Linked DNA regions of Arabidopsis thaliana. The gene in region 1 interacts genetically with each later gene. Each region holds a gene or a part of one and is shown in the gene's direction. Other genes may lie near its edges.

Region 1 (7,151 bases):
TTTTGGAGACGCAATCGTAACACTGAGCGTTTTGGAGATCGCCACGGCACTGAAAAACACCGATCACGGCGGTGGTGTTATCAGTTCCGGAGGTTACGGAAGCGAAAGAGCTTTGTGATGATTGAGAAACTAAAGAAGTGAATAAGTTTTTGAGATTCTGAGAGAAAACACCAGTTGGGTCTGGAGATTTCTGATTTGCACAACCTTTAAAGATCAGATTTTTATAATCATCATCACCGGAGATTGCAAAGAATGGTAAAAAGAACCAGAAGATGAAGAATTGATAGGTGAGTTTCATAATTGAGAAAGACAGAGAGAGATTTTTGTTTCTTGATGTTCAAAATCTTTTTACTAGTTTGTTTCTGTCTAATAAAGTTTGTGTTGTTTTTATGTGTCCGGAAAAAAGAAAGTTTTCCGTTTTTTTTTTGTCTTTTGTTTTGAGGTTTAAAGACAAAAAAATGTAAATAAGAGCAGGTTTTGTAGTATGAAACCATGAAAAATAAAGGAGTATACTTTTCTTTGGATCTTGCTTCAAGGGTAAGATAAAAAAGAAAGAAACTTTGAGACGACAAGTGTTTATTATATAGATTTGGTTTAGGAGATTATGTAATACAGTATCAAAAAAAAATGATTACTGTTTCTTCTTTTTTGTTGTTGAATTTAGTGAATAACCTTTAATGCCATTAAATCTGACTTTATTGTCTGAATTTGGATTTTGTTTTAGGACATTGATGGAAAAACACCTTTTGTGTATATGTATTTTTTGTTTAAGGCACTAAGATATATTTTGATGAGTTTGATTTAAATTGTAGGCTGATACGAGAAGGAAAATAAAATCTTAGACCTTGTTGTAAATGTGAATGATTGATTCGATTTTATTTTGTGTCCAAAACAAAACAAAACATGATCGTTTTGAGTTTACATAATTTCAGAACATAATTGCGTAGTAACTGGAGTAAATAATAATAAACCTGTGTGTTTTTGTAAACTACAAAAGATATTATCACTATGATTATTTTGAGTTAATGATAAGCATGATTGTTTTTGCAGGATTTTGGATTTCACATTCTATATGATATATTTTGAGTTGGTGAGTGTGGAAGATTTGTCAACAACCCTTGATCTCACAAGAACCAAATTGCCTTTGTGTGTTTGGATTATAGCTCTCTTGGAACCTTTGTTGATGTATTTTACCTATGCTTTTGCTTACCTTTTATGGTATTGGGGAATGCCTATCTTTGTTGTATGTTAAAACTTTGTGATCTTAGAATCCTTCTACCTTTGTACTTGTTTTCTCTTGTAGATGAATGAAAACAAGCATTTGCCCAAAAAAAAAAAAAAAAGATTGCTCGGAGAAGTAGAGGTGTTCCCCAATGTTTCAAAATCATTAAGAGTTAAAGACTACAAAAGGAAAGAACTAATACTGTATACTGTAAAAGATATGTGAAACTCTTAATTAAGTATAGATTCCCTATACAATATTAGTGAATAATTTTTATAAAATAAGGTTACCAGAACTGCCTGCATTGGATTTAAATACCGGAGAATTTGAGACATACATAGTTACATACACATGATAGTAGTAAGATCAAAAACAAATCTTAAGAGGTCAATAAGATTCGCTTATTTATTGAGTTTGACCCGACCCAATTAAGCCCGGCCCATTAAGCAGAGAAGAAGAAGAAAGAGAGAGGGTCAACAAAAAGTCACAGTCGAACAAGATACTGAGAAAGAAACGAAATTTCACCTGGCACTGTCCTCGCGTGTACTCTCACGCGCCGACGTAATACTCTGCCGTCGTCACCGACATTGTCTCTACGCCGTTGTCATTTGCTTATTACGGCCAAGATTCTTCACTAAGTAAGTCAAAATCGTGGAATCCTTTCTCTGTACCGAGCTCGCTTTAAACCCTAACCCTCTCGTCTCTGTACTTAGTAAGTTCTTCTAATTTCCGACGAAAGTCTTCTCCTTTTTGAGTCTCATCGTCATCTGAAAACGCTATTAGCTCTCTGGAAGAGAAAAAACAACGTTTTGTTAGAGTTTCTTTGTGCGATTGTGTTTTCTTAAGAGGAAAGGTTTCAACTTTCTTAGGATATTCAATTTCTGAGTCTTTTCTGCTACTTGTGGTTAGTCTTTGCTGCTAGGTAGATGTCTGTAGTCTTGGTTTGTTGTTGATTTGCTTTAGGTCTGTCTTTGCTTATTGTTGTAATGTTTTGAGTTCTGGCCACATTTATTTCCTTACTGAACGGCTCTTCACATCTTGTTTCTTCCGCATTTTGATAGGACGAGGCAAATGAGAAGTTACAACTTGTTTCACGAAAGCAATCCCACAATCAGTTTTAGTTTTGTTGGTGCAGAAACGATGGCACCTAATCTGCATATCAAGAAAGCATTTATGGCTATGAGGGCTATGGGAATAGAGGATGCGCGAGTGAAGCCGGTCTTGAAAAACCTTCTCGCCCTTTACGAGAAAAACTGGGAGTTAATTGCTGAAGACAATTACAGGGTTCTTGCTGATGCTATCTTCGATAGCCATGAAGATCAGGTATCTTTCTTTGTTCTCTCTTTGATCTACTGTTTTTTTTTTTGTAAATCTGTTGTAATCATTGTCTTTGTTATTACCTTGACATTCCATATTGATTTACTTATATAAAGGCTATTCAAGAAAGCGAAGAAAAGAAGGCAGACGAAGTTAAAGAGGATGAAGGCTGTGTATGTTTTTTCCAAACAATCTTCCATTTATTAGTTCAATGTTGCTTTATTATCCATGCTTCACTTTGTTGTTGATCCAATCTTTCAGGCCGCAGAAGTTGACAGAGGAAAGAAAAAGCTCCATGAAGTATGGCAAACTGAATATCTTTGCTGTGTTAGAGTAATGTGTCTTCATGTTCTTGTTTATTCAGTTTCTGTTGTGTAATATCAGTCTATCGAGGATGACGAAGATGTTATGGCTGAGTCTGATCGCCCTTTAAAGAGGCTGCGACGCAGAGGTGAAGGAGGCTCTGCTTTGGCAAGCCCTAGCTTGGGCAGTCCGACTTTAGAGGGACCTTCAATTAATGACGAAGAAAATGCTCCGATCCTATTGCCATATCATCCTGTACCAATTGAAAATGACCATGATGCTGGTGAGCTCATTCTTACAAAAGTCGAGCCCATTACAAATATGCCTCTCAGTTCTATTCCTGGTACTTTTTTGTAAATAGGAGTAACTAAATCTTATTTGCATTGCTCATTTTGTTGTTATGATTGTTGAAGCTACTTTCTCCAAAACTAATGTGTCTTGTACGTTTTCTGTAGATTCAGTAGATAGAGGGGACTCTTCCATGCTTGAGATAGACAAATCAAATGGACATGTGGAAGAGAAGGCTGGTGAAACAGTAAGTACTGCTGATGGTACTACCAATGACATTTCTCCTACAACTGTTGCGAGATTTAGTGATCACAAGCTAGCTGCAACCATAGAAGAACCTCCAGCACTTGAATTAGCTTCTTCTGCTTCAGGCGAGGTGAAGATTAATCTTAGTTTTGCTCCTGCAACTGGAGGATCAAATCCCCATTTACCTTCTATGGAGGAACTACGAAGAGCAATGGAGGAGAAGTGTCTCCGATCATACAAAATACTGGACCCCAACTTTTCTGTGCTTGGTTTTATGAACGACATCTGTAGCTGCTACCTGGACCTGGCAACAAACGGGAGAGATTCAGCTAACCAATTGCCAAAAAACTTGCCGTTTGTCACAACGAACATTGATGCATTGAAGAAATCTGCAGCAAGGATGGCTTATACTTCTCAGGCCAGTAATGATGTTGTTGAAATCTGCAGCAACGAACATATGCGTGATGCTGAAAACGGTGCAGTTGGTGATTCCATGGCTTTGGTAGTTGTTCCTGAATGCCAACTTTCTGCAGATGAGTGGAGATTGATAAGCAGCGTCGGGGACATCAGTCTAGGGAAAGAAACTGTTGAGATTCCCTGGGTGAATGAGGTCAACGACAAAGTTCCTCCAGTTTTCCATTACATAGCCCAAAGTCTTGTGTATCAAGATGCTGCAGTGAAGTTTTCGCTTGGGAATATCAGGGATGACCAATGCTGCTCCTCTTGCTGTGGAGATTGCTTGGCTCCGTCAATGGCATGCAGATGTGCAACTGCTTTTAATGGCTTTGCATACACAGTAGATGGCCTCCTACAGGAAGATTTTCTGGAACAGTGTATCTCTGAGGCCCGTGATCCGCGGAAACAAATGTTACTGTATTGCAAAGAATGTCCTTTAGAGAAAGCCAAAAAAGAAGTAATCCTGGAACCGTGCAAAGGGCATCTAAAGAGAAAGGCCATTAAAGAATGTTGGAGCAAGTGTGGCTGCATGAAGAATTGTGGCAACCGAGTTGTCCAACAGGGCATTCACAACAAGCTGCAGGTACATTCAACTTACCAACCTTTTTAGCCAAGTAGTCCAGGATTTGATAATCTAAACCCATCTCAGTTCTGATAGAATTGAAACTGATTATGATCATTTTAACTTGGACTTAACCAGTGGAGAGATTCTGATGCCTGAATTTTGTTTATGTTCCTTTTTTTTTTTTTTTTTGAATCAGGTGTTTTTCACGCCCAATGGGAGAGGCTGGGGACTCAGAACTCTAGAAAAACTGCCTAAAGGAGCATTTGTCTGTGAGCTTGCTGGAGAGATATTGACCATTCCAGAGTTGTTCCAACGCATCTCTGACAGGCCTACTTCTCCAGTAATATTGGATGCGTACTGGGGTTCTGAAGACATTTCAGGGGATGACAAAGCACTTTCTCTTGAAGGAACGCACTATGGAAATATTTCCAGGTTCATCAATCACAGGTAAAGGGACACTGAAAATGAGTTTGTTATAAAGTTTCATATGACTAGCCTAGATTTAGAACTCATTTGGGAAACTTATATAGTTGGTTTCACTCTCAATTCATTACTTCTAACTGTACTATGTCTATATGTGCAGATGCTTAGATGCAAATTTGATTGAGATCCCAGTTCATGCGGAGACTACTGATTCACACTACTATCATGTATGACACAGTTCCTTGTTTCATTTCTAATCATTTGCTTATAGAAGACTCATCTGTTATGTGGAAACAATAGACCGATTAGCTAATCTGTATTTTTTTCCAGCTTGCATTCTTCACAACAAGAGAGATCGATGCTATGGAGGAACTTACCTGGGTGTGTTAGAAGTTTCTCCACCCACTCTTAACAGATTTGTTTCTTTTAGAAATTTTCACTAGTTCGGGTTCAAGTCCTGTTTTCTTTGTGGTTCTGTTTGAGAAGTTTTGGACTTGACCTGCAGGATTATGGTGTCCCATTCAACCAAGATGTGTTTCCCACGAGTCCGTTCCATTGTCAATGTGGTAGCGACTTCTGCCGAGTCAGGAAGCAGATTAGCAGTGAGTAATCATCACACGATTTCTATTTGATAATCCTTTTCCTATATTTGACTGTTATCTCGGTTTTGAAACATGAGCCCTTCACTATTTTGCAACTAACACGCAATTTGTTGATGCTGCAGAAGGCAAGAATGTGAAGAAGCGAGCATGAGAGAGAGCTTTACATTGGTAGGTTTTGAAGATATGTGGTGGGCGCAAACTCCTTTTTGTTGTGAATGAATTGGCAAAAAAATTCCAATCGAAAAACGCTTTTTGTAAAAAATTCCGACAATGCATATAAGCAAAGTCGCGGTCCATAAAATAGGTAGGTAGCTATCAGGATGAAACTATAATCCTTAGAAACTGATTCACTTTTGTGATATCAAAAACTCGTGTGAATATCTTAATTTTGGTTCTAACGGCTATGGCTTTTGGTTATGACTTATATTGAAAGATCTCTCTATTTATATAAATCGTAGTATCGAAGTGAAGTCTTGAAAGTGATTTCACCTTAAGAAGAACTCCCATGAGAATCACTTGTGGAAGGCTTCTCTCTCTCTATATATATGAGGAATGATAATAGTACAAGATCAAAGCTTATTACATTGTATGATACTTTTGAGTGCTGTTGGATAATCCTATCATTGAGTTATGTACAGTTTTCTACGCTTAAACCGAAAGCTGTGCTTCAATGGCTTTACCTACCAAGTCTCGGTTATGAGGTCTCCAGAGAGAATCTTGATCGCCAGATGAAGAAATGGCCGGTTGAATTCCACTAGCGTTTAGCGGAAACAGCGTCTTGTAGTAGCCATCCATTATAGCCGAAATATCACAAGTAGCCGCAACACCAGGAATCTGTTTCAACAACAACAACAAACACATAATTTGAAACACACTCCCAGATGCAGAATTTATGTCTCAGAGAGAAGCCAGTAAGAAGAGGAACCTGGTAAATCTCGCGCAAATAGCCATAGAGATTTGGGTATTCAACAAGCTTCTTCTTGGTGCATTTGAATAGAATGTTGTAAACCGAATCAAAACGAATCAGAGTTGTGAACAGACATACATCAGCCAATGTCAACCTTTCTCCACACAAGTATCTATTACTACCCAAGTGATCCTCAATCTCATCTAAGGTACTAAAGAGTTCATTCACTGCTCCATCATACGCTTCTTGGCTCTGCGCAAACCCGCACCTTTCAAAAATCACCACACATGACACAACAAACAAAGCCATCAACTTTAGCAACAAACACACATTGCAGCATCAAGAACACAAGCTACGCAAAAACCGCATCAAATGTGAACAATTCAGTTGCTTTCTATAGCTTTTAATACTAAAGAGTTCATTTTACAGCTCCATCATACACTTCTTGGCTCTGCGCAAACCCACACCTTTCAAAAAATATCGCAAGCAAATTACCACACAACAAAGTCATCAACTTTAGCATCAAACACACATTGCAGCATTAAGAACACAAGCTATGAGCTAAACCCGCATCAAATTTGGAACAATTCACTCCATTCCTATAGCTTTTTTGATATCCCGCTTACTTGTAAACGCCATTGTAACATTCTATAAACATTGTAATGATGTTTTCCAATTTACCTGTAAACGCCATTGTTAACTTTAGGATACACAATCTGATTCCAACCTTGTATCATCTCTTTCAACTCTGGTGGCGAGAGATCCAAGTTATCATTTCGGGCCAATTTGTTTAAACCTGAATTGAAGAACTCGATAATATCA
Region 2 (8,634 bases), on another chromosome or scaffold:
TATATGTTGGATCTTTGTAATGTCCAAGACCTTACCCAAATTTTTGGGAAGGCCAATATTATAAAATTATGAATAAAACAAAGAACTAAGAACTATGGGAATGATATTTTTTTTTTTTTAATATATAAACTACGTGAATGATACCATATCATAAGACAAAAAATAGAAGTATGGATTGAGATACAAGCGTGGCGTCTTTGTTTTCAAGTGACCTATCTCCTTGATTATATTAAATAAAAACTAGTAAACAGGTTACATGATAGATTCGTAGATTAGTAGTATTTCAAGTTATAATTAAGATCAGGATATTTATAGTTACAGAGTATGATCGAGTAACAAGCGACGATTTATATGAGGTTTTTAGGCATGCCGGCTTTAGACTATAGTCGATGAAGCAAGGACTTTAAGGTCGACGCCAAAATATTTTTTATATTTTGAACTTTTGAGAACCCTAGTTAGGCCTAAGCTTCACTTTGCTTGGCACACAGCCGGTTATATTGGTGGATCAATGTATGGATATTTTGTATGTTTGGAGTGATGGCTTTATCGAACTCTCTGAACACAACTCTGCTAACCATACATCCACACGTCGTGTGATAATTAGATCTTATATAATAGTCCAAAAATGACTTCCAACTCATATATTTATATAAATAGTCTTCTTTTGTGGTTATATGTTTGGTTATTTCTATTTATAGTTTAATTCAATACCAATATTACAACTAAATCAGTTTAATTTTTCTTTGATTTGGTCTTTGAATTCACTTTCATGGTCAGTTTCATTGTTTAAGATAAACTTGAATGGATTAAACCGAATTAGGCATTCACTTTTGATCAGTCTCTTCTGCCATAATCTTCATAAGACAAACCCAAATTTGTAAAAACTTTTTTGAAAAAGAAACCGTAAGTAAAAGTAAAAGCGTTTAGGATCCAAGTATGGATTAGCTTCGTAATTTGAATTAGGTTTAGCTATACGAATTCGTTTACTTTTGTACCATATTTAGTTGTATTGTTTTCAATAATAGTTTTAAACATTCGAATAATCCGTTCCCAACTTTTTATCCACTATTATTCGTCTCAGTTTCTAGGATAGATATGTCCACACAAAAAAGCTCTTGATTTTTTTTTTTTTTTTTACAAATTCCAAATTTCTTTGCTCATAACCCAATCATTAGGTTATGACCACCATTGACTCACTCATAAGTCATAAGTCATAGGCTCATAACCAATCCAACAAGTTGTTAAGATTGACAACAACGATTCACTAAGATTCCAACCAAGTCCATGAAATAAATGATTTACAATACTCATTTCTCATGTACGTCTCTTTGAAGGTTTCTTGCATGACAGGAAATCAAAGGTTAGCACACTAATTACTCTTTTTTTCACACACATTCACAGTTTCACACATATGGTGCAGTATTTTGACTCCTATCGTACTAGACTAAAACATTTGGAATGATCAAAAACGAAAGACTCGTTGGGCAACTAGCCTAATAATCACTCTACTACACTAGCTCCCATATCAGTGGAAAATAATAATTCTAAAACGAATCATTTAACTTCTGCATATGTAAACGAAAACGTGTAAATTTATGAGATTACGTAAAAATTAGCAAAATAATATATTATTGATCAAAATTATAAACGTGGATTACATAACATGTTATTTGTTTAAATCATAATTTGATGATAAATTTATAAATAAAGTTCTAATTATTTTATATCTAAAGCAAAATTAAGATTATTTTATAATTTCTATTAATTATAAAATTAGTTAGTTCATATAATTTTAAATAGTTACGTAAACGAGAAAAAATACGAAATTTTAAAGAGAAAAAGATAACAGAAAAGACGATGATGACGATGACGATAACAACGACAATATTATTAACTTTTTAAATCATCTTTCCCATAGTCTAGGAGATTTTGTAGAAAAGAATCATTATTTTTAAAATAAAATTCCGTAAAACTTTTCCCGCCAACCAAACGAACTTTCGCCCTACATAAACAAACGGTTATGAAAAATAGTGAAACACACAACAACACATGTTATATCCTCTTCTTTATACGTTAGGCCAAAAAAGCTTTTTCTATATTACTCTTTAACTTCATCGATTCCAAGAGAAGAAACGAAGCATCAGTGATCTTATCCTCTCATAGCTACCACCGAACTAACTCTCTCCATCACCACCATAACCATTGATTCTACTGGTAATGAATTTTGTTTTTTTCTTACTTTTTTTTACATTTTGTTGTGAATCTAAAAAGTCTCTCTTTCACCTAACGAACGGATTAATCGTTCATGTCGCCACTCACCCAAAATCAATGACTTCCGGAGATCTCTCTTTCTCTAAAACCCCAGAAAAAAGTGGATCTGATCATTTTATAAAATCGTGATTTTTAAAAAAAATTGGTGATCTCTTTTATTGAAGAAATTATTGAACTTTTTGCAGTGGAAAAAATAGAAAGTTCCAAGCTTTTTCTCAAATGGTTCTGATTTAAGTAAGAGTGAAGAAAAGTAAAAATAGAGTCAGAAATGGAGAAACAGAGGAGAGAAGAAAGCAGCTTTCAACAACCTCCATGGATTCCTCAGACACCCATGAAGCCATTTTCACCGATCTGCCCATACACGGTGGAGGATCAATATCATAGCAGTCAATTGGAGGAAAGGTTTGTGCTTTTTTGTTCTAAAGTTGAGAAATTTCAAAGAGTAGTGATGGGTAATTGGTTAAGTAAGGTATTGATGCATGCAGGAGATTTGTTGGGAACAAGGATATGAGTGGTCTTGATCACTTGTCTTTTGGGGATTTGCTTGCTCTAGCTAACACTGCATCCCTCATATTCTCTGGTCAGACTCCAATACCTACAAGTAAGAGGGGATTTTGATTCTGGTCTCATGAGAAATGAAATCGCTTTGTCAAATTTTGATTCTGTTTGAGTTGGACTGAGAAAGATGTGATTCTCAATGTAGGAAACACAGAGGTTATGCAAAAAGGTACTGAAGAAGTGGAGAGTTTGAGCTCAGTGAGTAACAATGTTGCTGAACAGATCCTCAAGACTCCTGAAAAACCTAAGAGGAAGAAGCATCGGCCAAAGGTTCGTAGAGAAGCTAAACCCAAGAGGGAGCCTAAACCACGAGCTCCGAGGAAGTCTGTTGTCACCGATGGTCAAGAAAGCAAAACACCAAAGAGGAAATATGTGCGGAAGAAGGTTGAAGTCAGTAAGGATCAAGACGCTACTCCGGTTGAATCATCAGCAGCTGTTGAAACTTCAACTCGTCCTAAGAGGCTCTGTAGACGAGTCTTGGATTTTGAAGCCGAAAATGGAGAAAACCAGACCAACGGTGACATTAGAGAAGCAGGTGAGATGGAATCAGCTCTTCAAGAGAAGCAGTTAGATTCTGGGAATCAAGAGTTAAAAGATTGCCTTCTTTCGGCTCCTAGCACGCCCAAGAGAAAGCGCAGCCAAGGTAAAAGAAAGGGAGTTCAACCAAAGAAAAATGGCAGTAATCTAGAAGAAGTCGATATTTCGATGGCGCAAGCTGCAAAGAGAAGACAAGGACCAACTTGTTGCGACATGAATCTATCAGGGATTCAGTATGATGAGCAATGTGACTACCAGAAAATGCATTGGTTGTATTCCCCAAACTTGCAACAGGGAGGGATGAGATATGATGCCATTTGCAGCAAAGTATTCTCTGGACAACAGCACAATTATGTTTCTGCCTTTCACGCTACGTGCTACAGTTCCACATCTCAGCTCAGTGCTAATAGAGTCCTAACCGTTGAAGAAAGACGAGAAGGTATCTTTCAAGGAAGGCAAGAGTCTGAGCTAAATGTTCTCTCGGATAAGATAGACACGCCGATCAAGAAGAAAACAACAGGCCATGCTCGATTCCGGAATTTGTCTTCAATGAATAAACTTGTGGAAGTTCCTGAGCATTTAACCTCAGGATATTGTAGCAAGCCACAGCAAAATAATAAGATTCTTGTTGATACGCGGGTGACTGTGAGCAAAAAGAAGCCAACCAAGTCTGAGAAATCACAAACCAAACAGAAAAATCTTCTTCCGAATCTTTGCCGTTTTCCACCTTCATTTACTGGTAATGAATAGATACAGAACTATATTTCTTTGTTTTTTTGAATCTGTTAAATGCAGACTATTTCTTGATAATGATGATGTTTGATTCCTGCAGGTCTTTCTCCAGATGAACTTTGGAAACGACGTAACTCGATCGAAACAATCAGTGAGCTATTGCGTCTATTAGACATCAACAGGGAGCATTCTGAAACTGCTCTCGTTCCTTACACAATGAATAGCCAGATTGTACTCTTTGGTGGTGGCGCTGGAGCAATTGTGCCTGTAACTCCTGTTAAAAAACCACGCCCACGACCAAAGGTTGATCTAGACGATGAGACAGACAGAGTGTGGAAACTGCTATTGGAGAATATTAATAGCGAAGGTGTTGACGGATCAGACGAGCAGAAGGCGAAATGGTGGGAGGAAGAACGTAATGTGTTTCGAGGACGAGCTGACTCATTTATTGCAAGGATGCACCTTGTACAAGGTTATACACCACACTTGTCCTTTTATGTGTTTCTGTTCTAACCACATGGTTTCAATTAGTATGTCTCAGCTACTGCTTCTTGTTATGGTCTTTGGTTTCTAACAGGGGATCGACGTTTTACGCCTTGGAAGGGATCCGTCGTGGATTCTGTTGTTGGAGTATTTCTCACTCAAAATGTTTCAGACCATCTCTCAAGGTACAAGCTCTTACATAATTCTATGTCAAACTAAATCCAAGACAGCAAAAAGTCACAAAACTAACTTGCTTTGATGTTTTTTACTCCTTGTAGTTCGGCTTTCATGTCGTTGGCTTCCCAGTTCCCTGTCCCTTTTGTACCGAGCAGTAACTTTGACGCTGGAACAAGCTCGATGCCTTCTATTCAAATAACGTACTTGGACTCAGAGGAAACGATGTCAAGCCCACCCGATCACAATCACAGTTCTGTTACTTTGAAAAATACACAGCCTGATGAGGAGAAGGATTATGTACCTAGCAATGAAACCTCCAGAAGCAGTAGTGAGATTGCCATCTCAGCCCATGAATCAGTTGACAAAACCACGGATTCAAAGGAGTATGTTGATTCAGATCGAAAAGGCTCAAGTGTAGAGGTTGATAAGACGGATGAGAAGTGTCGTGTCCTGAACCTGTTTCCATCTGAAGATTCTGCACTTACATGTCAACATTCGATGGTGTCTGATGCTCCTCAAAATACAGAGAGAGCAGGATCAAGCTCAGAGATCGACTTAGAAGGAGAGTATCGTACTTCCTTTATGAAGCTCCTACAGGGGGTACAAGTCTCTCTAGAAGATTCCAATCAAGTATCACCAAATATGTCTCCGGGTGATTGTAGCTCAGAAATTAAGGGTTTCCAGTCAATGAAAGAGCCCACAAAATCCTCTGTTGATAGTAGTGAACCTGGTTGTTGCTCTCAGCAAGATGGGGATGTTTTGAGTTGTCAGAAACCTACCTTAAAAGAAAAAGGGAAAAAGGTTTTGAAGGAGGAAAAAAAAGCGTTTGACTGGGATTGTTTAAGAAGAGAAGCCCAAGCTAGAGCAGGAATTAGAGAAAAAACAAGAAGTACAATGGACACCGTGGATTGGAAGGCAATACGAGCAGCAGATGTTAAGGAAGTTGCTGAAACAATCAAGAGTCGCGGGATGAACCATAAACTTGCAGAACGTATACAGGTAAAAATTTAGTGGCTAAATTTCGTGATAACATTCATTTTAAGTATTTGACTCTGAACATGAAAATCATGCAGGGCTTCCTTGATCGACTGGTAAATGACCATGGAAGTATCGATCTTGAATGGTTGAGAGATGTTCCACCAGATAAAGCAAAGTAAGTTTGAAAGACGAAGCATTTTATTTCTTCTTTATTAACCTATACAAAGATTACTACTTTGGCAGTTTTAGTGACTTAATAATGAATTATGTACTCTCGTATATTACAAAACCCTGCAGAGAATATCTTCTGAGCTTTAACGGATTGGGACTGAAAAGTGTGGAGTGTGTGCGGCTTCTAACACTTCACCATCTTGCCTTTCCAGTAAGCAAGGATCAAACTTTTGTTTCTGTCCCTATAAAAAGTGAATTATATGATGCATGAACTTAATTTATTGACAGGTTGATACAAATGTTGGGCGCATAGCCGTCAGACTTGGATGGGTGCCCCTTCAGCCGCTCCCAGAGTCACTTCAGTTGCATCTTCTGGAAATGTAAGCACTTTTCAAAATGGTCCTACTTGGAAATTGTAATTTGTTACTTAATACATCTGAGGTTTGGTTTGTCTAGGTATCCTATGCTTGAATCTATTCAAAAGTATCTTTGGCCCCGTCTCTGCAAACTCGACCAAAAAACATTGTAAGAATGATGTTTATCACTAACTTTTTTTTTTTCATGCCTCAGTCTAATACACTTATTCATTAGTTTAATACCCTATTATCTCACAGGTATGAGTTGCACTACCAGATGATTACTTTTGGAAAGGTATGTATTAAAGAAATACATATATACGTATGTCAAAATCAGCTCACATGATGAGGTTTGTAATCTGCTTGATTATTGTATCAGGTCTTTTGCACAAAGAGCAAACCTAATTGCAATGCATGTCCGATGAAAGGAGAATGCAGACATTTTGCCAGTGCGTTTGCAAGGTGCTACAACATGTTCTCTTAAACCTTTAGTACCACTATGACTCTATGAGGAAAGTCCTTGTTAAAATATAACCCAGTTAAATGAGAATTGGTCTGTATCTAAACGAAGCTCTGAATCATCATTACAGAAAATTTAGTAACATTCATTTGTTTTACAGTGCAAGGCTTGCTTTACCAAGTACAGAGAAAGGTATGGGGACACCTGATAAAAACCCTTTGCCTCTACACCTGCCAGAGCCATTCCAGAGAGAGCAAGGGTCTGAAGTAGTACAGCACTCAGAACCAGCAAAAAAGGTCACATGTTGTGAACCAATCATCGAAGAGCCTGCTTCACCGGAGCCAGAAACCGCAGAAGTATCAATAGCTGACATAGAGGAGGCGTTTTTTGAGGATCCAGAAGAAATTCCTACCATCAGGCTAAACATGGATGCATTTACCAGTAACTTGAAGAAGATAATGGAACACAACAAGGAACTTCAAGACGGAAACATGTCCAGCGCTTTAGTTGCACTTACTGCTGAAACTGCTTCTCTTCCAATGCCTAAGCTCAAGAATATCAGCCAGTTAAGGACAGAACACCGAGTGTAAGAATCCATTTTTCTCTGTTTTTCTTCGTTCTTAGGTTAAAAATGAAATCAGAAACACATTTTTCAAAATTATTAAAGCTTGAACAGAGTAGAATATTTAAGTGATTGACCAAGCATGAACTCGTAAGTTGGAAAGCAGACAAACTTCCCAATAATTACAGGCTATGCCATAACTTGTTTCTTTTCCCGTATCTTGCAGTTACGAACTTCCAGACGAGCATCCTCTTCTAGCTCAGGTATGTGAGCTAACTGGATAAGGACACATGCCGTATAGAGTGCTGTCTATATTGTAAAATCTGACTAGCTGTTTGTGATTTCTTGTGGCAGTTGGAAAAGAGAGAACCTGATGATCCATGTTCTTATTTGCTTGCTATATGGACGCCAGGTAATTTAATGATTTGCATATCTTTTAATCATGAAATCAAATCGGTATCTTTAATCGATGTGTTATTCAACAGGTGAGACGGCTGATTCTATTCAACCGTCTGTTAGTACGTGCATATTCCAAGCAAATGGTATGCTTTGTGACGAGGAGACTTGTTTCTCCTGCAACAGCATCAAGGAGACTAGATCTCAAATTGTGAGAGGGACAATTTTGGTAAGTAGTTGCATCAATCTCCTTATGCGGCTTACTACACTTATGTTTTCTACAGATTAATATGTTGTAAATTGTACAGATTCCTTGTAGAACAGCGATGAGGGGTAGTTTTCCTCTAAATGGAACGTACTTTCAAGTAAATGAGGTAAGACTTGAACTCCAATAACTCCAACTCTTTCATTTTAATTATTTGCATTGAAACTTGTGATGTATTCTATTGATACAGGTGTTTGCGGATCATGCATCCAGCCTAAACCCAATCAATGTCCCAAGGGAATTGATATGGGAATTACCTCGAAGAACGGTCTATTTTGGTACCTCTGTTCCTACGATATTCAAAGGTATAAGATTTTCTTTATTGGATTGTGATGCGATTGTTTATATAAAAGAAAGTTGTTCTAACCACTTGAGCTCTATTTTTCTCAGGTTTATCAACTGAGAAGATACAGGCTTGCTTTTGGAAAGGTACATTTTGTATTAAGCAGTTTCTTCTTGTTCTGAAACATAACTTATCTTTTGATATTATGTAGGGTACGTATGTGTACGTGGATTTGATCGAAAGACGAGGGGACCGAAGCCTTTGATTGCAAGATTGCACTTCCCGGCGAGCAAACTGAAGGGACAACAAGCTAACCTCGCCTAATCCGTTGGCAAGCAAACAAATACAAGCTTATGGTTAAGAGTGAGAGAGCACACTGTTCCAATCTAGTTAATGTAAGAAAGT

Evidence for each region.
Region 2: of SUVR2 (region 1) and DML1, changing one suppresses a phenotype caused by changing the other (phenotypic suppression), as found in Arabidopsis thaliana (one study listed by BioGRID).

What each region holds. Positions count from the first base shown.
Region 1 is NC_003076.8:17,696,161-17,703,311, forward strand, and holds SUVR2 (SET-domain containing protein lysine methyltransferase family protein), read left to right. Parts: upstream 1-1,681; 5' UTR 1,682-1,934; intron 1,935-2,283; 5' UTR 2,284-2,293; coding exon 2,294-2,545; intron 2,546-2,655; coding exon 2,656-2,712; exon of another isoform or gene 2,713-2,767; coding exon of another isoform or gene 2,768-2,800; coding exon 2,801-2,839; intron 2,840-2,923; coding exon 2,924-3,185; intron 3,186-3,297; coding exon 3,298-4,415; intron 4,416-4,593; coding exon 4,594-4,844; intron 4,845-4,980; coding exon 4,981-5,047; intron 5,048-5,150; coding exon 5,151-5,201; intron 5,202-5,325; coding exon 5,326-5,422; intron 5,423-5,544; coding exon 5,545-5,573; 3' UTR 5,574-5,876; downstream 5,877-7,151. Other genes in the region: PDLP1 (plasmodesmata-located protein 1), read right to left, coding at 1-298; AT5G44000 (Glutathione S-transferase family protein), read right to left, coding at 6,071-6,256, 6,348-6,597, 7,011-7,151. UniProt on the Arabidopsis thaliana protein: Probable inactive histone-lysine methyltransferase that acts as regulator of transctiptional gene silencing independently of histone H3K9 methylation.
Region 2 is NC_003071.7:15,308,178-15,316,811, reverse strand, and holds the start of DML1 (demeter-like 1), read left to right. Parts: upstream 1-2,004; 5' UTR 2,005-2,214; intron 2,215-2,456; 5' UTR 2,457-2,539; coding exon 2,540-2,673; intron 2,674-2,756; coding exon 2,757-2,872; intron 2,873-2,974; coding exon 2,975-4,105; intron 4,106-4,198; coding exon 4,199-4,570; intron 4,571-4,675; coding exon 4,676-4,766; intron 4,767-4,859; coding exon 4,860-5,757; intron 5,758-5,831; coding exon 5,832-5,911; intron 5,912-6,033; coding exon 6,034-6,118; intron 6,119-6,195; coding exon 6,196-6,287; intron 6,288-6,363; coding exon 6,364-6,432; intron 6,433-6,521; coding exon 6,522-6,558; intron 6,559-6,642; coding exon 6,643-6,725; intron 6,726-6,883; coding exon 6,884-7,309; intron 7,310-7,511; coding exon 7,512-7,548; intron 7,549-7,639; coding exon 7,640-7,697; intron 7,698-7,770; coding exon 7,771-7,910; intron 7,911-7,989; coding exon 7,990-8,055; intron 8,056-8,136; coding exon 8,137-8,251; intron 8,252-8,336; and 4 more. UniProt on the Arabidopsis thaliana protein: Bifunctional DNA glycosylase/lyase, which excises 5-methylcytosine (5-meC) and 5-hydroxymethylcytosine (5-hmeC), leaving an apyrimidinic (AP) site that is subsequently incised by the lyase activity.